Linked DNA regions of Schizosaccharomyces pombe. The main gene of each other region encodes a partner of the protein of the gene in region 3 in a complex. Each region holds a gene or a part of one and is shown on either strand. Other genes may lie near its edges.

Region 1 (7,685 bases), on a different chromosome or scaffold from region 3:
CAGGTGGAAGAATCGCACCATCAATCTCTGCTCCAAGTGCTGACTCCACTGCCTTCAAATTGTTTAAATTTACTTGAATTTTGTTTGAGCGCTCACTGACTTTGTAGATATCACTAGTAGCGACATCCAGATCCACCTGGAATCGCTCCAAAGAGCTCAGAACATCATTCAACACTGACTTGAGAGAATCAAGTTTGTTTAGATCATCACCACTTCCATCATAAACATCCTGGGTAGAAGCTCTCTGCATGCCGGACTTATTATACTGTACCTATAGATGTTATATCTCAACGTGACAGCTGCATCCCAGAACAAATGGAAGGTATAATCCTGCAAATAGTTAGTTTGGTAAGTTAAGGAGGGTTAAGTTTAATTTAGGTGTTGTTTATCACCCTGGTTTCGGCGCTTCCATCAGTGTTAAGCCTGAACAATTTAATGTAATCTAACGATACGTCAAATAATTATGATGAGTTACTTTACGAATTTTAACGTTGCAAAGGTATACTTCAAATAACATGTATTACGTTTTACTTCACTGCACTTAGTTTGGTTGCTTTAGGGTAGGGTTAAAGCAATCTCACATGGAAAAAGTAGTCACATTTAACAAATGGGAAAGTGATGGGCATGTTCATACAGAAAGAGCATAAACCAACAATGGCAGAAGAAGAACACGTCGATTTCGAGGGTGGTGAGGCCGGTGCCTCTTTGACCTTCCCTATGCAATGCTCTGCTTTGCGTAAGAACGGACACGTCGTCATCAAGGGCCGTCCTTGCAAGATCGTCGACATGTCCACCTCTAAGACTGGTAAGCACGGACATGCCAAGGTCCACATTGTTGCCCTTGATATCTTCAATGGTCGCAAGTACGAAGATATGTCTCCCTCTACTCATAACATGGACGTTCCTGTTGTCAAGCGTGACGAATACCAACTAGTCAACATTGATGATGGCTACTTGAACCTCATGACTACCGATGGTACTACCAAGGACGATGTTCGTCTTCCCGAAGGCGAACTCGGCAACGAAATTGAAGAGGGCTTTGAAGAGGGTAAGGATTTAATCATTACCGTTGTCTCTGCCATGGGTGAAGAGATTGCTCTCGCTTGCCGTGATGCTCCCAGCGCCTAAATATAAACCCTCTTCCCTTTAAAAATGGTCGTTTAGTAAACAAGTTTTGCTCCTCCTTTACCATATTCATTGTTTGTTTAACGATTTTTGTAAATAGAATGTTCTTTGGAATCTGTAAACGTAAGACTTCTTATATATCTGATAGTTTTAAGATAAATTAGATTATGGTTATATATTCGTACTACGGGTATGTATCAAACTGCTTGATGGCTGTTATTTTCTCTTTTAAATGTATCAGTAGCACCTTTTCTTCAGCCTATTTTAACTTTCCTCAATTTTTATCCTAGTTTCAACCTTTATGTCTCAAGGTTGGATACCCGAGGTAATATATAATCTAGAGTGGACTTGCAGTTTTTATATAATGGCTTTTCACAATAGTTAATCAATGTATGCACTATCTACCAAGCCGTTACAACTCATATGTATTAACGTGGCGCCCGTTAGATCTCAAAAACTGCCTATCGCTACTGACTGACTAACAGTCTACTGTGATACATTTGTGAAGGATTTATCCAAAACTATATAAACGGTATTTCGCAGCTGAAAGAAAATCTGTTAGGTTTTTTCAGTCGATTCATACTTTCCAAAATATTGGTAAAATGCTGGCATAGCAGTTTATAAATAACAACACCGTTAGAAACTGTGCAGATCTTTTTACAAATGCTTACCTACTTGAATACCCTTTAAGTGTTTTGTTCTCTTATTTTTCTTCGTCTATAGTTCACTGTTTGTACTTTTAAATAAGTCTGCATCTATTTGCATATCCAGTTCCTTTACAATGGAAGGCAATTGGTTTGAAGGTCCGCCTTGTTCTGTAAGAAACTGCAAAAGTACTTGGTATTTTAAAAATGCAGGTCAAACATTTTGTCGTCGTGGTCATGCTCAACATGTAAGTTGTTTTTAATAGGTTTGCGCTTTAATGAATGTTCATTAATAAAATTGTTAAATTTTAGGGAATTGAAATCGCTCAAGATGATGAACCTGGTGCAGGGACTTTTTATCAAACTCGTAAAAGAAAGGTTGTTCGCAACCATCTAGACACTGGAGATGAAGATGAGATTGTTTATGGTACCGCTGGTAGAAGCTTATATCTTCAGGCTTTTCAAATTATTCTTCAACTTCAATGTCAAGCGTTAACTACGAAACTCGGATTTGACCAAAGAATAGAAGGCATGATACGTGACCTTTGGGCGCTTTACCTTTCCCTGTCTTATGAATCATTTACTTCTAGTTTTCTTTCCCTCAACCAAAATTCAACGCAATCAGAATCATCAGATTCGGATTTTGATCTCATAGATCCTGAGAGTCAACCGGGAGCTGATCCGAGCTCAAGAAAAACGAAGGAAACTTCTCAGTCGCATTCTATATCTTATCCTCGGCTTTTATACTCTTCTGCCTTTATTTATGTCGCCTGTCTTTTACTAAGACTGCCTCTGACCATTCATAAACTCGAAGTTTTAATAAGGAAAAATATTATTCCATATTATAGAGCGTATAAACAGATACCTCTAAAAATATTTAAAAGGCTTCAAAAAAACTATGTAAGGATGCTAATTCCTTTTCATTATCCAACGTATCAACGCATACAATCCGCTGTCTTGACATTGGTTGACGTTTTAGTATCTAAATACGAACTAAAAGTTCCTCCACCTAATGAGCCATTGATACTTTTTGAGCTTATTAACAGTTTCTTTTTTCCCTTAGAAATCTTCATACCTGCTTCTCGTTTACTAAATCTCGTTCACTCGCAGATTTCACTTCAAGGTACCTCTAGCGATAATTATCAAAGCAAAATACGCAGTGCTCAATCGATACATGAAAAGTTATCTGATGCGGAGGTTATGTTACTCGCTACCATCTTAGTAGCAGCAAATGTATGTTATGGGTTTGATGATGCCCAAACTCGAAATTCCAAATACAAAGACTCGATGTTCACTGTTAAAACCAACTGGAACATGTGGTTATCCCAAGTGCAAAAAATTAATGAGAAAGAAAAAGACAAGTTCTACGAGATAGACGAGCAATCCATTTTGACGCTCAATAACTCTGAAATGGATAAATATTTTCAATGGTATGAAAAAGAGTTTGTCGAAGAAAACAACCCAAATAATATTCCAGAAGGAATTCTTAACGTATTTCCGATTCTTTCGAAAGACAGCCATTTACAAGAAAATCAACCTACAGATATACTCACCGACGAATCCGTCATTGCTGAAGATGTAAAGTTAGAACAAGTGTTCAAACCTGTAGGCATTAAAGAGTCTGATAAAATGGACTTTTCACGACGAAAGGATGCTTATATATCAATGCTTCCTTTTTCACCTAATACAGAAAATACAGCTCATCGGGTTACTATCATGGTAGCCAAATTGTATAATATCAAATTGGATTCTCTTATAGCGGCCATTCGTTATGTTGAGTCATGTTTAAAAACCGGTATACACAATCAAGATTAAATAAATAAATAAAATAATAGTGCCATCTATTTTTTGTCCTTACTATCATCAAGCAAATCCCAAAAATAATTAGAATAAAAATATGGGCTATACTTGTTGCTGATTTGTACCGTTTGCAAATCGTTTTCGGTATCTAGGAAAGTGTGAGTAGATTCGAAAAACAGTTTTAAAGTTCAATTTTAAAGCTTGAATTTTTCATATCATCAAGCTTTTTAAAGATAAAAAATTGAAAGGTAAATTCAAATTATGAGCAAATGACATACGTATTATAACCCTTTTATTCCCAGTGTTCTCAGCAGTTTCTAAATCGAAGCCTAAAGAATGATAAAAGTTCAGCTTTAACATATTCGCATTTTCCTCTGACTGACATATGTCTTCAGAAGTATTTTCGCGTTCCTCAAGTTGTAGTAGCTGTTCCTTCATTTTCTGCAATTGAGATTCTAAACTCATAATTTCGTTCTCAGTGATATTCAACAACTTGGCTATCCTAAATTTCTCCTTTTCCCTGCTTAAAATCTCCTCAGCGTGTTGTGATGACTCTGCTGTTTGTTTTAATGACTCCATAGCCTGGGTAGATATTTCTAATTTTCTTGAAAGCACTATTCACAGTTAATGCATGGTCGTTTATTTCTAGATTAAAACTAACCTTTAAATTTGGTTTGAGATCCTTCCAATTCTTTTTCTCTGAAGCTCTGTATCTGTGCGCGAATGTCTTGAATGTTTGAGATGGTTTTCACATCTGGTGCAATTTGAAAACCAGCAAGCGTGGACCGCATAAGTTCAATTGGACTGTCTGACATATTTACTTCTCTTTTATTTATGTTCTTTTGTGTTTAAAAAGTAATTTCTTTGAAAACTTTCAACGTGGTCGTAACGTACGAAAAGGTACGAATGATGCTACCGTAAATAAAGTATGGTTAGAAAATCAACCTTACTCTACTAATATATATATATATATATATATATGCATACGTAAATTAGTTAAACAAATCTACATGATGCAGGTTTTTTCTTTTTTCTATAGGAGCTAAAGTTATGTACATAAAACAGAAAGAAAAGAGATAACCTCGATTCAAGTTTTCTTCACCTTTTCAGCAAAACAGTCGATGAAACCTTTTTGATTTTTATACGATATAAAGTTTAGATGGAAGAAAACGCGAAATCAGATTAATTCAAAACACGCTAATATAATTAATTATAGATTAGAAGCAGACACAGCGTGGTATCTTTTAGATAATTTAAAAATGAATCCTAAATACTGTACAAATAAACATTAAATCGTTGCTTGTAATATAAATGTTCCAAATCGACAAGCCTATTGAAAGAAAATACTCAGCTTGCATCATCTCATCATGGTGACATTTAAAAGGCTAAGTTAATTTAAAGAGATAATTATGGTTTAGATATAAGCCATCCTTTTCAATAGCGGCACCTGCTGCTATAAAGTAATCAAGTACTTCGTTAAACTCACGGGGTTCTAATCCGGGAAATAGTAAGTTAGTCAGTTGGGATCTCAAGATTCCGGGTTTTCGAAGCAGTTGGTATACAATGGACTGCTCGATATTCATCCATATCATCTCAATAAGCTCGCATTTACCATTTAACCATAGCCGTGGCTCATGCGAAGGTGGAGTTGCCAACTTTTCAGTAACACCATAATTTTTTTTAGATTCACTTTCTTTGCCGCTGAGAACAAGAGTTACATTGATATTGTCATGTTCTAGCAAACGAGTACGATAGCCTTCAGATAGACCATACTCATTAAACTTGCTTCCGACTATAGATATTTGCAACTTTCCTTGAGATAATAAATCAAGGATACATGCGAGAGTTCCACTGTTAGATGTTTCTTCAAATAAATGATTCTTATGATTTTGAAAACCCTCCAATAAAAATTTATTAAATCGCTTGGCTTGTGACAATAAAAATGGAGGTAAAGGAGACTTGAGGGAACTTGCAAATTTCTCCGTAAACTGGAAGTTTCGACCAGGCTGCAATCTACTGTTTTCTGAATTAACTCTAGTAATTATTCTCTTATCCAATAATTCTTGATGAGCAGCGATGAGAATATCTTCTGGATACTGCATAAGACGTTCTTGCGAAAACCGAGCATCATATGTAGCGTCTGGGATGGCAACGATGCTCTTGATAGTAGACTTCGCATCAAACAACTGACCTTTCTCACAATTCTCATCCCCTTCATTATTTTGTTTGTCATTTAAGGAAAGCGGCATGGTAAAAGGCATATCACAATACGCATTCATTTTCGAGGCAACTGACAGGGAAGGATCAAATATCATTTCCCGGAAATTAGTTTCTTGTTTAACAACCTCTATATTGTAAGTTTCATAAACGTCAACGAGGTCTCTCGGTAACCTAGTAGTAGCAAGATTTGAAGAACTAATCATATAAGGTCTACAAGACGCCTTAACATATGGGGTAGGATCAAAATCATCAACAGAATCAGGATATGGCATTAAATCTTTTCTTGAGACAGCATCTTTGTACATTTGCTGCCAATTTTCTGATAAAAACTGTTGCAAGCCTTTAAATTTTGTATGTTGTCTAATGGATAAATATCTTCTAGTAAGAGCATATATGTCCCGGTTAGGAAAGCATTTCTGTACAGCCTCCCATTTGATTAATCTGTTGGTCCCACCATAATAAATTTGAGTAATAACAACCGCTCTAATCAAGGTCTCATCCTCATCTGATGTAAAATCATTTTTGAAGCGTTTAACTGAACGTTTGCTTGCATGTTCAGTTGAAGAAAAATAATCAAATTCCTCCACTGAAGCGTATCTATCTTTCCGCAACTTTTTAGGTTTTTCTACTGGGCTTTTCTGTTGGGTATTTTCGTGCAGTGCGAAATCGGGAGCCAATGATTCTAAAAGTTGTTGCGCGAGTCTCATTGGATCGTCTTTCTCCTTTTCATTTTTCTTCACCTCCTCTTTATCAACAGGTTTAGTCTCAGAAGATTCCTTGTGACGTTTTATTTCCGCTGGCATAGATTTACGCCTTGACAAAGAAGTATTCCTTTTCAAAAAATCGACATCTACATCTTTTAATATTTCTGGAGTTGATTGTTTTTCGATTTCAGGAGTTGTAATTTGAGCTCTTAACTGTTGAAACCTAGGTGAATCAGGCTTCATATCGTATTGTACCACGATATCTTTTCTAACGAGCTTCCCAAGTCCATTGTTTGTTGCAATCACTAATTTACGAACCTTTTTCTCTTGCATTAATTTTTCAAGGGTTTGCTGAAAAGTTCTCCTATCCATAACGGTCCTAGAAGTTTCCGGGTTTCGTCGCACTTTAAGGTCTGCCAAGTCTTCAAACATCTTTCGAGATATTTCAAAAGCCCCATTCTGTTCAACGAGATAGGAAAGAATTAAACCTTTACGTTGTAGGAATATAAAGTCTACAGATTCCAAACGGCGCTTTTTCGTAGGGGATGAAAAGTTAGCCATTAGACTGCCTGTCGAATGGGATAATTGTGAGTCTACTGAAACGGGATAATGAAATGAAGAGTCTAAATCAATTGAGCTTTGAGAATCAGAGACTTGTAAAGAAGATGTGTTTCCATATTTTAGGTGATCTGGCGAACTAACCGTGAAATTCTTCGAAGGAACACTTGATGACACGTTCAAAAGAGGCTCCAAATGTTCTGCTTTTTTAACATGGTCTTCATTAAATTCTGGGTTTTTTAGAGGAGCAAGGCCTCTATAAATTCGTGACGTTTTCGAGGGTGTCAAAGATCCTGCTATGCTTAGGTTGCTACTAGTGCTAGGGGTAGAAATTGTAGCATTTTGGATGAACCCTTCGGAAACTGGTGAAATAGCAAGGGAAGGTAGATTATTTTCATTTTTAGAGGGCCGAATGGGAGATGAGGTTACAGAAATATTTGCAGATTTTCTAGGTCTACCTCTTTTTCTTGGCAATAAAGTCATTCCGTCGGGAGATACTTCCGCATTAGATTCCATATTTCCCTTATGATGTAGAGAATTTAAGAAAAGGGAAGAGTCAATTGGAGAAAATTCACCAGCGAGTGAGTGAACGTGAGGTAATAGCTTCGAAATTGTTTCGGCAGGAATGCCATCT
Region 2 (5,698 bases), on a different chromosome or scaffold from region 3:
ATCAATTCTCCTTTTCAAATTTCGAAAATAGTCATCTGCGTACAGGGACATCAACGAAACATTCCAACAGTATTTCAAAATTTTTACTTATTTATTTCATAAATATGTACCCTCGCTATTATTAAAACATTTAAATATCTCTGAATAATACAGGTGTTGATGAAACCTGTAGTTTATATGATACACATCTTCATTATTCGTACATAAAATTTGCAGTCGAAAATGAACCAAGAAAGTAACATTATATGATTAAACAAATCGTCTTATATAGTAGTATGTGTTTTTTATCGAATACAGTGTAAATATTCATTGTTATTTGCTGTTTTTTCTTAAAACTCATAAATAGCGTTTTGTTCGTCAATTATTAATTTCTATCACCAAAGTCTTTTAAATGAACCAAATTCCCTATGTTGAATGGAAAAAGTTACTTGTTATCAGCTTTCTGTTTGTTTCCGTTAATGCGCTGTTCAAATTTTTCAAACTCGGCAATTGCAACCTCCTCTTCTGGATCTAAAACTTGTACAACATTTTCCACTTCCGGAATGTAATGCTTCAGCATTTGCTGAATTCCATTTTTTAGTGTCACAGCTGATGACGAACAGGTTCGACATGCACCTCGAAGTTTAAGAGAAACGGTACCTGTCTTCTCATCAAACCCTCTAAATTCCACATCACCACCGTCTTCTTGGATAGATGGACGAATGCTAGTCTCGATCAGTTCTTTAATCATTGCAACAATTTGACTGTCGCTTTCTAATATTTGAGTATCGCTAGCCCCCTTTAGAGGCTCTTCAGAGAGTACTGGGCTTCCATTACTTAAATGCTCCATAATTACACTAAACACTTCTGGCTTCATTTGAGCCCATTCAGTTCCTGCTCCCTTGGAAACAGTAATAAAGTCCTTTCCAAAAAAAATGCTATCAACTCCATCTATATCAAATAGTTTCTGTGCCAATGGAGAATTCACAGTTCCTTGTCCTCTCATGAATTCACAGCTTCCGATAGTTGGAGGCAAGATATCTAGCCCTGGCAGGAACTTCAAAGCGTTTTCGTTCGGTGTCTCCTCCGATCGGATCCATATGCTGCGAATTGCTTGCAATTGGAAACGTGGAGTGAAAACGTTACCAGCTGAAGATACTGGTAAAAAGGTTTTCTTTTGGAATGCTGTCCTTAAAGATTGAAACGGCACAACTCTAGGAAATAACATGCTTGGAATCAAATCGTGCTTTATCCAATAAGAGACAAAATATTAAGACAAGTTCAGAATTTGAAACTTCTTAAGTATACACTTCAAACAGATGGGAAAATTTAAATGTTTATTAACAATTTTTAAATCAGGAAATGCTAATGTAAGCAATTCTTTAAATACATGCAAGAAGGCAATTTGTACATGGGCATACGAAAACCGATGTGATCCTTATACTTTCTTATACAAATTAGCGAAGTTCATTATATTGAAATAAGCCATTGTTCGTGATTCAACAATTTACTTGTCTTTCATCACTAATCTAAATTCTCTCTTACAAGAACAATAGACATTGTTTTCAATTGAACAAATCGGTAGGCTCCTGCCTTCCTCAACAACTTAATTTCTACTAGGTGTTCAAAAACAGATACCTTCCTAGTAAATTTCACACATCATTGCTTCATTAAGAAAGAACTGTTTAAATCGTATGGAAAAGGTAAGCCAACGGTACCATTGTTCATTCACAAAATACTGATGAATTACTGCAGTCTCAACTTGAGTCACGCGTCCATTTGCTTGAACAGCAGAAGGAGCAATTGGAAAGTAGTTTACAAGACGCTTTAGCTAAGCTAAAGTAAGTGTGGTAAAGTGATGCTAGAAATGGTAGAAAATATGAGTTATGCGCCTTTACGCGCGTTCAGGTTCATTTTGGGAAAAGCAATGTATTGCCGTTCCATCAAATCTATTCAAGTCATCATCAAGCTTGTCTCGTTTTATCTAATGTTGACAAATGATTTAGAAATCGAGATGCTAAGCAAACTGTACAAAAACATATCGATCTACTCCATACCTATAATGAAATACGGGATATTGCTTTGGGAATGATTGGCAAAGTGGCAGAGCATGAAAAATGTACAAGTGTCGAATTGTTTGACAGATTTGGAGTTAATGGGTCAGAATAATTATTATCCATTCAGTTATTTAGGAAAAAAGAGAAGTTAAACAAAACAAATAAAAATGTAACGGAAAAAGTGACAGAGACAATCCAAGTTTTCTTTATTAAGCATTACTTTGCTTTCGCTAGAGATCCAACGCCAATTCTTATATATTTATTATGAAAGTTTACGTAAACGATCACAATTGTTAGAACATCTCAAGACTTTAGCTAGTTGATTAGTATTAAGGCTCGTCAGTATGTCCGACGTCTTTTTCAGATGACAATAGCAACTTATGAATGTTATTTGCAGTTTCAGTATTGGCTGTCGATTCTAGTTTTGACAAGTGATGTGACCAAAAATCCTTTTGCTGGTCGATGGGATTAGATAATCGTTCGTAACCTTTTTCTAAGTAGGTAATTCTTTCATCCACCTCTCGTGAGTGTACAGTGGGAGAGGCTTCAACTACTCTTTTAACGGCATGCTGCAGATTACCAAGTTGATCAAGAAGGAAATCGGTAGTTTCTGGTAAAGTAACTTGCCAATTTTCGGGTACTTTGTTGAGAAAAGAAATTCTTTCCAAATGCTTTTCTATTTCTGTTTTTTTTTCTCTTTTCCTGCTGAGACGCATGCGAAGGTCACGACGTAGTTGCATCTTTACTACGAGTTTTTCTGCAGCCTCTTGAATTGCTTGATCCATGGCGGCGTCTTGCTCTGTTGTGATTGAATAGTCTACATCCTTTCCAAACGTACGCATGTAGCCTTTTAGCTCTGGTGGATAACTAAAAATGTTTCGAAGTGTATACACCTCGAAACCATCATAGTAACGATCCACCACACTTTCAAAGAGAACCTCGAACTTGTGTAGTCCTTCTTCTATTTCCTGTGGCGCTTTTTTAGCAAACCGCGTTTGTGAAAAGGCTTTATCCACACCATTTACACCTTTATATAACAGTTGGTTCGTAATGTTGATCACATCATCAATGAAGGAGAGAGGAGTGAATTCTAGTAACTCCACTAACATTTTTTAATTAATTCCTTTACATTGAAAACACTGATTAGCTTCCAAAGAGGAAACTAGTGAGTTATGATTTTTAAACGGCAAGTTGTTCTGCAATGTACCAACCCCATGTTGCATTTTGTCTGGTGTACTCAGATATGATAATAACGAGGTAAAAGGGATTTCCGTATATCCCATCAAAAAGTATGAATAATACATAGATTTGTTGCTGTTTTTATTGCTGTGAGGAACATATAACTCAGGCGATTAACAGTTTAGTCGGTTTATTTTGTTAGTTGCTTAGAAGTGTGGCTTTTGATTTGTGCTTGGTAAATCATTACTAGAGTTTCTATATCCTCAACTAAGCTCTAGTGGAGGAATACACTAATATTAACTATATTCGAATTATACATTAATAGTACGGACTCATCTTAAACCTCAATTTCTATGCTTTCTTTTATTATTCTTCAGTAGCCTTTTTTAGCTATCACGGTGGGATCGTTCTGCTATGCAATTTGATTTAATGAGGGTTAGCACCTTTTCCCAATATCGAATTAGTGAGTTCTGCCACTGTAGGAATATCAGCATAACTAGAAATGCTAACAGCTTAACTTTCATTCATCCATTACTTACATACATCAACAATGTCCAAAATCAAACTGATTTCATCTGACAATGAAGAGTTCGTGGTCGGTATGTAGAACGGAGAATGTTTTGAATTGAGTGAATTGACAAACTGTTTATAGATCAACTGATCGCTGAGAGAAGTATGCTTATAAAAAATATGCTTGAAGGTATGATCTATACAAGCGCTTGTTGAGTGCAATAATTATTATGGACCCTGTTACTAAAATCTCAATTTCAATAGACGTTGGTGAGATTAATGTCCCCATTCCTCTTCCAAACGTATCATCGAACGTTTTGCGAAAGGTACTCGAATGGTGTGAGCATCACAAAAACGATTTGTATTCAGGAACTGAGGAGGAAAGTGACATTAGATTAAAAAAGTCTACCGATATTGATGAATGGGATCGTAAGTTTATGGCCGTAGACCAGGAAATGTTGTTCGAGATAGTTTTGGCAAGCAATTATTTGGATATTAAACCTTTGCTTGATACTGGTTGTAAAACCGTTGCCAACATGATTCGTGGCAAGAGTCCTGAGGACATTCGGAAAACATTTAACATCCCTAATGATTTTACGCCTGAGGAGGAAGAGCAAATCCGTAAAGAAAATGTACGTTCCTTGGTACTTTATTAACTTAATTCTAACCGCTTGCAGGAATGGGCCGAAGACAGATAGTTTGTGGCTTTTTGTGTATAAAGTTTTTTGTCCTTGGATCATTAAGTGTAGTTTTCAGTGTAAAATGGGAATCTTCCCATCCACCTCATCATGCGCCTTTTTTTTTTTATAAAAAAAAAATTGATATAAAGTATACTGATGATTTTTTACTACTGAAGTTTTCACGATGCGTGCGATCACTTGATACTTGACGTACCAACACTGGTCGTATTAAGTCGCAGCAAATCAATTTCATTATCGCATATATACAAATGTACATTGATGAACATATTTTATCCCAACAAAGCACATTTCGTTATCTTTTACTGTTGTTTTAAGTACGTATGTGAATTACGATTTAGAAAGTTGAACTTACTATCCCGAATTGCTTAAAGCTTGCTTTTGTCTTGTTACAAAATAGGGATGTTCATCAATAAGATTATCTTTACTCTTCCATTCAATATGGTGAACGATTGGAGCTAATAGTCCTATGTAGTTTGCATTAGCGGTTTACTATAACAAAAAAAAAAAAAAAGAAGTGTTGTAATATAATAGCGCTAAACAATGAATTGTTAAAAAAATCCGATTCTTTTCTTAAAAATAGTGACAGCAGCTATGTAAAATGCGAATCGTAATAATATCAAGCTTCCAAATTAACAATTAATGATTGCGTGAATTTAGTTTACATTCATATTAATTACAAATTTTGTATAGAACAATAGAATTTTTGAACTCGTTACAATTAGCAAATAAATAAAATTAGATAATTAGTCAACGGTTTTCATCCCTTCAATATAGCTTGATAATATTTGTGAATCCTAACATTTCAATTTTTGGGGAACAGTTTATTTAATTTTTATATTTTTTTCGTGCACAATTAATAATTATATGCCCCTTAGTCTTTTAATGTTTTAATTTAATTTGATTTTTTATTATGAACATTTTAATGTATCATGGTAGATGTCAATATTTTTGATTGTTTTGAGTAAATTCAATTGACATTTTCAAAATTTCATACTGGTTTTTTATACATTACTTAAAGATTTAAAAAAGTACAGAATATTTCGATGTTGAATTTTAAGTTAACGAACCTGTCCGTTTGAGGCATGTAACTAGAATTTCAGCCAGAAAATCGGCGTTCAAAAAATAAAAAACTACAAAAAATTTAATTGATTTATTATTATCCACAAAGTATCAATTCTTAATTTATAATTGTTAAATGGATAATTATTGTTTTGTTTACAAACTCAAGATGACAAACTACCTAAAGTTAAATAAGAAAGGTTATGCTAAAAT
Region 3 (5,345 bases):
ATCTTCCTCAGACCCCTCTACTTCCAAAGGTGGACCAGCAAATGCTGCATGTAAAGCTTCAAGTTCTTTCGAATCCTCGATAAGCTTAGCCCTTTCTTCGATAGATGAACCTTCAGCAGTTCTGATTAGACTTTTAATAAAATCATTTTCATTGACTTTTCTTCTAAGTTCTCCATTCGAAACCGCATGTAGCAATCCAATCGTTCCGCAAGCATTTGGAATTGTTTGAGGGTACCACAAGACTTTGTCACTATCCTTTGGTAAAATTCGTGATCCTTTATATATAGTTTTTGTTCCTGAGGATGGAAAAACGAATAAAAGAGCATGGACAGGACGAGGGATATATTCGGGGATTTCCTCTAATGAAAACAGGTCAAAAACGCTAGCATCTTGTACACCGATTTTTTGTAAGTAAGGTTCCAGCACCTCTGGTGTATTTTCTAAAGGCCTCCACATTGTAATTTTTCTCGAATGATAAATGGCTCTAATTGAGGCTTTTTTGATCAGGTTTGGAAGGCGTGGCAGAGGTCTCAGAAGTCAGCAAAGAGGCAAAACACCAAAGTTTGACAAAGTTAATCGAATATCTTTAGATTGCCAATTTTGGGAATCTACAAAAAAGCTTTACTATAATCAGTATCCTATACTTCAATATCCTGTCACGTTCAGCTATGAAGATGACTGTAAAAATAGGGATTGTTCCATAGGTATATTATAAATAGAGTCATAAAATATTAATAATTACCAAGATTTACCTATATACATTTACTGTAAAATCTAAAATTCTGGCTTCGAAGTCCAACCAACGTTCTTATAGGTAGTGTTGAAATATTTGCACGAATAAAGATTTTTCAAAATGAAGATACTAAGAGTTAGAAGACCTTAAGTTTCTGAGAAGTTCAGCAATATAAAGCTCCACGTGCGATTTCAATTTTTCGAATTCCATAGTTATAGAGGATATTTGAGACTCCAGTTCTTCTCGCATTCCAGCAATTTTTTGTTCGGTCATCTCTATCATGGCATTTTTCTTTTCAGTCTCCTGAATCTTTTTATTCCTTTCTTGGGTAATTACTTTGTATTCTTCCCGTATGTTGTCCATTCGTTGTTTGGCAGCCTCAAGTTTTTGATTTCGAGAATGTTGTTCATGCTCGAGTTTTTCTTGAGCATTAGATAATTGCTTTAAAAGTTGTTCTTTTCTGAACTCAAGTTTTTTTTTGTTTATTTCTATTTGATCGCAAAGCTCTTGATTTGTAGAAAGCAACACAGTAGCATGTTCCAGTTTATCCAATTCTACAAGACATTCTTCAAGCACTTTCAAACAAGCATTCAAGTCTCCTTCAATTAACTGTAAACTGTTCAATTTTGTATGCAGAATTTTTGACTTTTTATCCAGTTCCACTTGCTGCGACCGATCATTTTGTATCCGTAACGATGTGTCTGCTATCTTTCCTTTCAGCTTTTCAGGAGAATGTACAATAGAGGACTGAAGTTTTTCAATTTCTTCCAAAGTACTGGCCATTAATGAATCGACGTTGTGATACCTAATCTTTAACTCTGAGGCCTCCATTCTAATGCGATCATATTCTGTACGAACTTGAGAGCACAATCGTTTGTCTTCTATCAAAGACTGAAACATTTCTTCGTTTCTTTCTTCATTCTGTTTAATAATTGCCTCACTTTCCAATTTCCTATCTTGGCTTAACAAAACTTTTTCCTCTAAATCTTTTCGTTGTGCATCTAAAAGGGTATACGTTTCCAGAAGGCTTTCTCGCTTCTGTATATCATCATCAAATTGCTGTAACCTCTCTTCTCTGAGTTTTGCAAAATTAATAACTGCTGATAAAATTAGTTGTAGTCGATTTCTGTCTGGTTTCAATAGGTCTTGAATCGTAAAGTCATGAAAACAGATGTTTTGCATGAATTGACTTAAAATCTGATAAAAAACAGTAAATCTTAAAGACTCATGTATTATCTCGAAATTCTCGACAGAATCTTGTAACGAATTAACCTTCTCTTCTAAATTCTGGCGGGTCAACCCCATAAACAAGTCAAGAAATTCTTCATACAGAGGGATGACGGCTTTCGAGGTTGGTTGGTCAAGCTCTTTAGCCGTGAATGGAATTCCAAGACCATCTATGCATTCTAAAATCTCAGCACGCTTCAAAGAAGGAAATGTGTGTTTTCGTGCCATGGTAAAGTTGATGGTTAACTGAACAACTGGATTTTACGTATTTAATCTGCTTTGATTGTGAATTTAATTATAAATATAATAAAATAAAATTTAAATTTTTTATTTAGTTGCATGTTCTAGATATTCAATTTTTCATTCTTTTTAAAAAATCAAGAACAAAGCTGAATTTCGTATAAGTTTTTCTTCTGTCATACATAGTAAATTAACAACTCCGTTTTATATATCTTTTTTAAAAAGTGAACGATTTGATTTAAAATAGTTCTATATAGTTTATATAATTTTACAATCGATGGTTTATCTCAAACGTTGCATGTAAGCAAGAAACAATATAAGGAGCATATAAAAGCTGAAACTAGATAAGAAGATAAAAAAATTAACATTTATGCCTGATGACCCAACTTTACTAAAAGCCTGAAAGGGCTAATGATAGATGAAACCAAAGTTTTAGGTTGACTTGGCTGCAACAGCTTCCTTAACCTTAGCATCAAACTTTGCAACAGCAGATTCAACGGCTGACAAACCTTCGTCTAAGTCGGCTTCTGGAATAGTTAAAGGAGGAAGGAAGCGGAAAACTGAAGGATTATTGAGTGAACAGTAGACTTGGACGTGATATGTATCGGCAAGGTCATTGACAATAGGAGTTGCATAGTATTCGCCGAATTCTTCTTGAACTGACTCAGGAATGGGATAAAATTCAATACCAACTATCATTCCTCGACCACGAACATCCTTCATAACATGAGGGAATTTTGTTTGAAGTTTATTAAGACGATCAAACATGATACCACCTAACTTGCGGCATCTAGAAAGAAGGTCGTTTTGCACGATATAATCGATGGTAGCAACACCGGCGGCAAGTCCAAGAGTGTTTTCTTGATAAGTGGCAGTGTGCAGAAAAGCCGTTTCAAGGGAATTGTAAGCAGCATTCCAAAGCTCCTCTGTAGCGATATACCCTGCAAATGGAATGAGTCCGCCTGAAAATCCTTTGGCGAAAGCGATACAATCCGGAATGATGTTTTCGTATTCACAGGCCCAGAATTTACCGGTACGACCACAACCGGTTTGAATTTCGTCTAAAACGAGATATGTATCGTACTTAGTGCAAAGTTCACGAGCCTTTGCAAGATAACCTGGAGGAGGGACAATAACACCACCTTCGCCTTGAATAGGCTCAACAATGAATGAACGGTACATACCAGAGGATAAGGCAACTTGAAGTGCTTCCGCATCACCGTAAGGGACGTAGTCAACGTCGAAAGGAGCAGGACTTTGATATTTTTGCCATTTTTCTTTGCCGCCTAAAAAGACGGCACCAGTGGTTTTACCATGGAAAGAGTTCAAAGTAGAAAGAAACTTTTTCTTGTTAGGCTTATAACGGGTAGCAAGGCGAATCAATTTAATAACTCCCTCATTAGCTTCAGCACCACCGGTTGCAGTCCATGTGCGAGTAAGTTTTTGACCAGGAGATAGCAAAGCCATATTGCGACCAAAGGCAGCTGCAAGGTTACGATAGGAAATGGCACCCATCATATATAACTTGGCATCAAAGCATTTCTGTAAGCAATCCCAAACATACTGATTGTTGTTACCGACCGTTACGACTCCAACGCCTCCAATTAAGTCCAGATGCTCAGTACCCTTTTCATCAACAAAACGAGAATTATCAGCTTTCACAAAATTGCGAGCGTGGCCATGGACAGTGCGTAACTTGTTTAAGTGGTCGAGTTGTAACTTGACAGTCGTTTCTGGGTCCATTTTCATGGCTTCGTCGAAGCACCACAAACCCTCAGGATAATTGCTGGCTGTTCCATTTTCGGAGGAGGCATCGGTTTTTGAACCATTTGTGTTAAGTTCAACCGTCTTTGAGGTAGCAGTAGCAGTGGACGTGGAATCAATCATGATAAGTGCGTAAATTTAACGTAAATAAACGAGCAGGAAAGATAGTTCTTAACTCAAAGCTTCTTAAATGTAATTTCCAAATGAATCTTTACAGTATATGGTTACCTTGTATAATCCACTCCTTAGATTGAAGAAAAGGTCGAATGAATGTTAACCTTTTACAATTGTTGGCATTCACAGGCAGCTTTAGCCTATATATATAGTAAAAATCATCAATGCCATATTCCTATGTACTTGACCGAAAAATGGCTATTACCTCTCTCACATCCCCCGATCAAAGTCGTACTGCCCAGATAGCAATTAGCGTACTACAGCCTTCGAGTTGGCCGACGGGCAGAACCGAGAAGAAGATATACTCTAATATTTGATCATTACAGAATTGGTCTCAATTATAAGAATTCAAGAAAAAATATCATGCAATGAAGTGTATTTAGTTCAAAAAAGCTTTGGCGCTAATAATAATGTTGGAGCAGAAACAAATGATTGCGCAGAACTATTTTACATAGGATAAAGTAAGCAAAAAAAAAATAATAATAATAATAATTAATTAAAAAGATTAGATTGAATCAAACTATGTGATTTAATTTATTGAAATAAAACTGGTGTTGATTGTGGATATCTATGTAATAAAGGTTACATGTTTTTTTTTTAATAATTTTTATTTATTTATGAATTAATTGGAAAATGTTTAAAAAAGGGCATTCAGCTGTGTCTGGATATTTAATTTTAAATATAAAATAAATATAGATATATTAAAACGATAAAAATGAAAATAATATTTGTCACTTGTCGTATACAGTCTTTAGGATAATAAATTGTAAAGCAAAAATAAATAAATAAATTATAAATTATAAAGGTCACAATAAGATATAAATGACAGCTTTCTGTCTGAATCAGTTTATCTAATAAATTCAAAATTAATAAAATGTATTAAATCATCTCATATTCATATAACGATCAGTTCTTTTGACCGTCGCGATAATACCGCCGAGCCTTAAATTTCCTAGAGATAGAAATTGAAATTTCATTCCTGCTATAATCTGTAACTCTCTACACACTGCGCATCTCGTAGATCTTGATATACTTTGAGATCCCCGTATTCGGCTCAGCTTTGTAATCTAAAGATACCGCGGAGTGAATGTTGGCCGAACTTGGTGTAGCCGAAAATGAAAGAGGAAATAAAGATGTGTCGCAAAGCCAACACAGTGATCTATCGTATTTGTTGGTATTGAATAGTCCGATCCAGTTTACAATGTTG
Region 4 (4,958 bases), 1.2 Mb from region 3:
TTTGCCATTCAGAATATGCCTCCGTATGACTATACACCTTACCATCCAAATGAAAAGCTTTTCACTGCTGGTATTTGGACTATTCACTTTGGCTTAGACAATTTCATGTATGCAAGTGAGAATCGTATACGCGATGCTGTTCGAGATATGGAACTTGATGTCTTTGGTCTACTGGAATCTGACACACAACGTTTAATTATGGGATTTCGAGATTTAACCCAGGTTTTAGCACATGATCTAGGAATGTATGCGGATTATGGCCCAGGCCCTGATAAACATACTTGGGGCGCTGCGTTACTCTCCAAATTTCCTATTGTCAACTCGACTCACCATTTGTTACCTTCTCCTCAAGGAGAACTTGCTCCTGCTATTCATGCAACACTAGATGTCTACGGAGAGCTAATAGATGTTGTGGTTTCTCACAATGGTCAATATGAAAGTCAGTTGGATCGACGTCTTCAGAGCACTGAGTTGGCTCGAATTATGCGCGAGAGTCCAAGGCCTCTAGTGTTTCTCGGATATGTTGTTTCAAACGTTGGCCAAGAACCCCAAACTATTCTAACGCGAGACACGGGAATGTTAGACATTGAACCTGCTGACTATGATCGTTGGTGTCAGTATATATTTTATCGAGGTGTCAAGCGAATTGGTTATGCTAGACTTCATCGCTCTACTATAACAGACACCGAGCTTCAAACCGGAAAGTTTTTGGTTACCAAAGATTTAGGTAGGAACGTCAGAATCGACAAGGAACACGTTCCTGAATCACACAGGTATCCATCATTATTTGAAGGAACGGGTGTTAATGGACATTACTATGACAATAATTTAGTTGTTCACGAGCCGTGGTACTATGATTAAAATCACAAATTTGATTCATTTAAATTTCCATGGTTTTGAAAAGAAAAAGACTGATATAATTAGAATCAATATAAGCATTATACGAATTTGATAAACTATTTAATATGTTGTCTGCAGTTATGCACTGATTAATAAGATTTGTTAAGATTAGTACATTATGAATCAACCGGTTTGTTTCTGGTGAGCAGTTGGAATGAAGTATAAGTTGAGATGAAATAGCACTAAATTAATATTAGTTTACCCGTATATTAAAATTATTAATGATTAAGGAGTTTTTTCCAATCGGGCAACTACTCTAGGGAGATTTTTCTTTAAATATGCTACTTTAGCAATAGTCTGCTCGTATCGGTCGATGTCCTCTTTTCTAAACACAGTTGTCGAAGTTTGTTCATCCGGGTTTTCTACTTCTTTATCTTGGAGAGAAACATAGTCATCTTTCACGTTTCTTAAAAATGCGGTCTGTTGCTCCATCGCATCAACATATGCCTTTTCATATTGTGCTGGTACAGACTTTCGGTATCGAGCCACTAGGACATGAGCATCTTCTACTTCATTGAATAATTGTTGGACTCGAGTACGAAGAGCCAGATCAAATGGCTCAATTTGGTCGGAATTTTTTGGATCTTGCAAGGCTGAATTTGCATCAAAGCCATTGATTGTAACGTTTTCTTGTATTATTGAGAAAGTGGATTCAATCAGCTATATGTTAAGCATTAGTAATTGAAGAGGTCTCTCATTTTACTTTATATATATATATATTTTTTTTAATCGAAGCTGCTATGGAATTTCGACTTTATGGCTGATTAGAAGCGTGTACTGTATACTCACCTCGTTTAACATTTCTTTGACTCGAATTCGCAATTGGTCTTCACGACCCATTCCAGCTTCCCGTGAAGCTTGTTCTGGTAAATGAATAGCAAGTTTTTCTTGTATGGCTTGACGAAACACCGATTTTACGTAACTGTAATCGTTGATACTTATAAAGTGTTAAAATCAGATTTTCTAATTTCAAATTAAAAGCATAAATAAAAGCTCTAAACTACATGGGATTATGAAACACACCTTTCCAATGCAATTTTTGGTAAAACGCTAGCATCTCCGTGAGACGACATGAATGCTAGAAAGAAATGTTTTTCTTTAAGAATATATGATTAATAGATTAGAATATATTAAGAGAAAGTTAAATTTTTAGCTGAGAGATAGAAATCATTAGTCTGAAAAGAATTTGGATGTGATAGTACTGGCTGAAAACTTAAGCGATAGCTTAATTACGCTATGTAAATAGATAGAAAAGAACCATTGTATATAGATCAGGTTATCCCAGAAGCTCCAAATTATGAAGATATTCTTCATAAGTACACCCGATTTCCAAGGACTTATAGCGAGTAGCAGTTATTTGTAAAGAACGTATTGATCCATAGTAGCCTGCTTTATGTATCAAGCTTTCTAGGGTTTCCTCTTGATCCCAACGTTGTTCAGCCGCTACAGAAGGTAGATAAGTCGAAGAATAACGAATTCCATTTGCCGTAAATTTAATAGACACGCCATGTATGCCAACTTCCCAATCTAATGGATCATCTATCGGTTCAAAGTCGACTAACAAGTCTATCTGGCACTCTAAAAGAGCCAATTCTCCCAAGGAGATAGGACGAAAACGTTCATCACAAAATGCACTATTTTTAAAATGTTGTATTAGCATTCGGTTACTCTTCTTTTCAATTTCATCGGCAATTTCATACGAAGGTCTATGATTTATCATTGACGCCTACAACGAACTATGAACCATTTTTAGACACACTTACGCTTGTTTACTGAAATATGTTAAATTTGTAACTAAAGGACGTGCCCGGAAAGTTCCAATGCAACCTCGTAGTTGTTTATCATGGCCTTTTCCAGATGCAAACTTTACGAACAGAGGGATACTACGGGTCCAACTCTTTGCATTCCACTTGTCTCGGACCTTTCGATGCTCTAAAGTTGCAGCAACTACTTCAAAGCAATAATAACAATACTCTTTCTTGTCCATTTATATTAGTGGTAGTAGCAATTGCCTACGGACGCTTTCGGTACAATTTGTAAGCCATGGTATTTTATTCATACATCATTCCAACTTTCTTTGTTTAAGGATGGCCAACAAATCATACGTTGTAAGTGATTACGATAACGTCCAAGTTCATTATACTGTTTCATGTTTCATGTTAAAAAAAGTTAGTTAGTAGGGCCCTGTTTATGTCTTCTGTCATAAAGTGAAAGAAAATGGAGAACTTGTTTAACTGTACACTAAAGCATTCTTTACAAAATAAATACTCTTCTAAGTTTTCACTACCTAGTTAAACAATTCATGCAACAGCAGCAAAACTTATTGAATTCAAAAGTAGTCATATATAAATTAACATTAAATCAAAAACAAGATTTGTAACCATAACTTCTTTTTCAGACTAAATAACAGTAACATGTTCCCATTCACAAAACTAGATGTATACGCGTATATAATATATATATATATGTATAGAGAGGGAGACAGATAAAGAGAGAAAAGTCCAAGCGTTTAAGCACCGAAGCCTTGTTTCTTGCATCGGAAAATCATTTCAAAAGGGGTGTCGCAAAAATTTTTATGTAGTTACCACAATATCCTAGTTATTGTACAAATCATTATCTACATTAACAGCATAAGTTCCGTACAAGCAGAATAAAAAAGTAAGCTTGCTGAAGCCTTGTATGTCTCAAGCCGACTTGCTTAAGAAAAAAAGAGCCACGGCAGAAATCTTATTCATCAGAGCGAACTTGCTCGGGAGGAGGGGTAGGGGGATGGGAGTACCTTTCCACATCAGAAAACAAAGTCAACGTATTGTCTTCAACTTTTTCAGCAGCAATTCGACATGCAGGCCTATCACTGACAACCCGCATCCAACGCTTAATATTTTTGTAAGGTTTCTGAGATAGGTAATCTCTTTGAGCAGCAAATATAGGAAAGCACATCTGCGGGTCCGCAGCGGTGAACTGTTCGCCTGCAAAGTATTCGTTCGATGCGAGGTGATTATCAATGTAGTCAAGGTTCAAAAATGTTTCTTTACTTAGATACTTGGATTTTATCCCATTCACAAACTGGCGAACAATATAACGAAAGAAAATGGGAGTCATGTTCACACTAAGATCCAAAACATGACTTGCCCAAATAAATGGCATAAGAGATGCTTCAGAAAAGTGCATCCATAATTCATATTTTTCCAATTCGGCAACATCCTCTTCTGAGGGTTTAAATGACGGTCCATACTTTCTGACCAGGTGCTCCAAAATGGCTGCACTTTCAATGTAAGTGACACCGTCATCGACAACGATAGGACTCTTGCCTAATGGTGACAACTTAGTATACGCTGGGGGAGCACGTCCGTCGACACGGTCATAAACTTTGATTTCATAAGGCACTTTGAGTTCTTCGAGCATCCATACAATTCGAGTAGAGCGAGAGTTCTTTAAGTGGTGTAAAACAATCATATCTGGTTACAAAAATAAAAACAAAATCAAATTGAATACTCAAAATAAATACTTTCTAAGATGCAATAATTTCGATCAAAGAAGGGAAGTATGTGGGAATTGGAATGTATATATGGGTGCTGCTGCGTCTACACCTCATATGCACGTCAGTCACCGAAATATATAGTGGCGTATGCAACAAATACGCAAAACACTTTATGTTTGCTTAAGAAAAAGATACAGTAGATATAGGAATGAAATAACATCTTCATTTGAATTGCTATCACTAGTCCGTCATGAGCCCGCTGTAAAGGTGCAGTACTAGATTTATATGAAAGACCAATTTTACTGTTGTAGTCAGTACATTTATACTAAAAGAGCAGCAGTTGGATTTACTTGGCATTCTGACTGACATATGAAAAGAAGTTCAGTGGTTGAATATCACAATACAGAAGCCATATTTTACATAAATTGGAGTTACGGTTTTTTCATAGTTAACAACGTATACTGCCTTGTAAAACGTGGTGTTAACAAAAAAGTTATAGTACTAAATTTGTATACCGAATATTCCAAAATAGTTCATAGACAAGCTATCTCAAACAGTTCAAACTGTTTCCAAAGAC

The links.
Region 1: nuf2 (region 3) and spc24 share a complex: the UniProt entries of both Schizosaccharomyces pombe proteins name them as parts of the NMS super complex.
Region 2: nuf2 (region 3) and mis12 share a complex: the UniProt entries of both Schizosaccharomyces pombe proteins name them as parts of the NMS super complex.
Region 4: nuf2 (region 3) and mis14 share a complex: the UniProt entries of both Schizosaccharomyces pombe proteins name them as parts of the NMS super complex.

The regions. Positions count from the first base shown.
Region 1 is NC_003423.3:2,752,204-2,759,888, reverse strand, and holds spc24 (protein Spc24), read right to left. Parts: upstream 4,464-7,685; 5' UTR 4,385-4,463; coding exon 4,231-4,384; exon of another isoform or gene 4,184-4,230; coding exon 3,848-4,183; exon of another isoform or gene 3,718-3,847; coding exon 3,611-3,717; 3' UTR 3,585-3,610; coding exon of another isoform or gene 2,082-3,584; 3' UTR 2,018-2,081; coding exon of another isoform or gene 1,907-2,017; 3' UTR 1,129-1,906; coding exon of another isoform or gene 655-1,128; 3' UTR 501-654; downstream 1-500. Other genes in the region: GARP complex subunit Vps52, read right to left, coding at 1-250; tif512 (putative translation elongation factor eIF5A), read left to right, coding at 655-1,128; RNA polymerase I general transcription initiation factor subunit Rrn7, read left to right, coding at 1,907-2,017, 2,082-3,584; transcription factor TFIIIC subunit Sfc3, read right to left, coding at 4,955-7,685. UniProt on the Schizosaccharomyces pombe protein: Acts as a component of the NMS (Ndc80-MIND-Spc7) super complex which has a role in kinetochore function during late meiotic prophase and throughout the mitotic cell cycle.
Region 2 is NC_003423.3:1,136,383-1,142,080, forward strand, and holds mis12 (MIS12/MIND complex Mis12), read right to left. Parts: upstream 3,237-5,698; 5' UTR 3,146-3,236; coding exon 2,366-3,145; 3' UTR 2,149-2,365; coding exon of another isoform or gene 1,986-2,148; 3' UTR 1,821-1,985; coding exon of another isoform or gene 1,735-1,820; 3' UTR 1,683-1,734; coding exon of another isoform or gene 1,674-1,682; 3' UTR 1,371-1,673; downstream 1-1,370. Other genes in the region: NifU-like protein nfu1, read right to left, coding at 425-1,207; protein Swi5, read left to right, coding at 1,674-1,682, 1,735-1,820, 1,986-2,148; SCF ubiquitin ligase complex subunit Skp1, read left to right, coding at 3,766-3,814, 3,868-3,915, 3,990-4,357, 4,403-4,423. UniProt on the Schizosaccharomyces pombe protein: Acts as a component of the NMS (Ndc80-MIND-Spc7) super complex which has a role in kinetochore function during late meiotic prophase and throughout the mitotic cell cycle.
Region 3 is NC_003424.3:4,321,020-4,326,364, forward strand, and holds nuf2 (protein Nuf2), read right to left. Parts: upstream 2,205-5,345; 5' UTR 2,189-2,204; coding exon 863-2,188; 3' UTR 501-862; downstream 1-500. Other genes in the region: ubiquitin hydrolase Uch1, read right to left, coding at 1-456; SPOM_SPAC27F1.05C (aminotransferase), read right to left, coding at 2,633-4,087. UniProt on the Schizosaccharomyces pombe protein: Acts as a component of the NMS (Ndc80-MIND-Spc7) super complex which has a role in kinetochore function during late meiotic prophase and throughout the mitotic cell cycle.
Region 4 is NC_003424.3:3,112,440-3,117,397, forward strand, and holds mis14 (MIS12/MIND complex Mis14/Nsl1), read right to left. Parts: upstream 2,108-4,958; 5' UTR 1,974-2,107; coding exon 1,924-1,973; exon of another isoform or gene 1,838-1,923; coding exon 1,690-1,837; exon of another isoform or gene 1,561-1,689; coding exon 1,126-1,560; 3' UTR 1,013-1,125; downstream 1-1,012. Other genes in the region: cwh43 (glycosylceramide biosynthesis protein), read left to right, coding at 1-861; SPOM_SPAC688.03C (AMMECR1 family protein), read right to left, coding at 2,177-2,534, 2,664-2,887; glutathione S-transferase Gst3, read right to left, coding at 3,628-4,356. UniProt on the Schizosaccharomyces pombe protein: Acts as a component of the NMS (Ndc80-MIND-Spc7) super complex which has a role in kinetochore function during late meiotic prophase and throughout the mitotic cell cycle.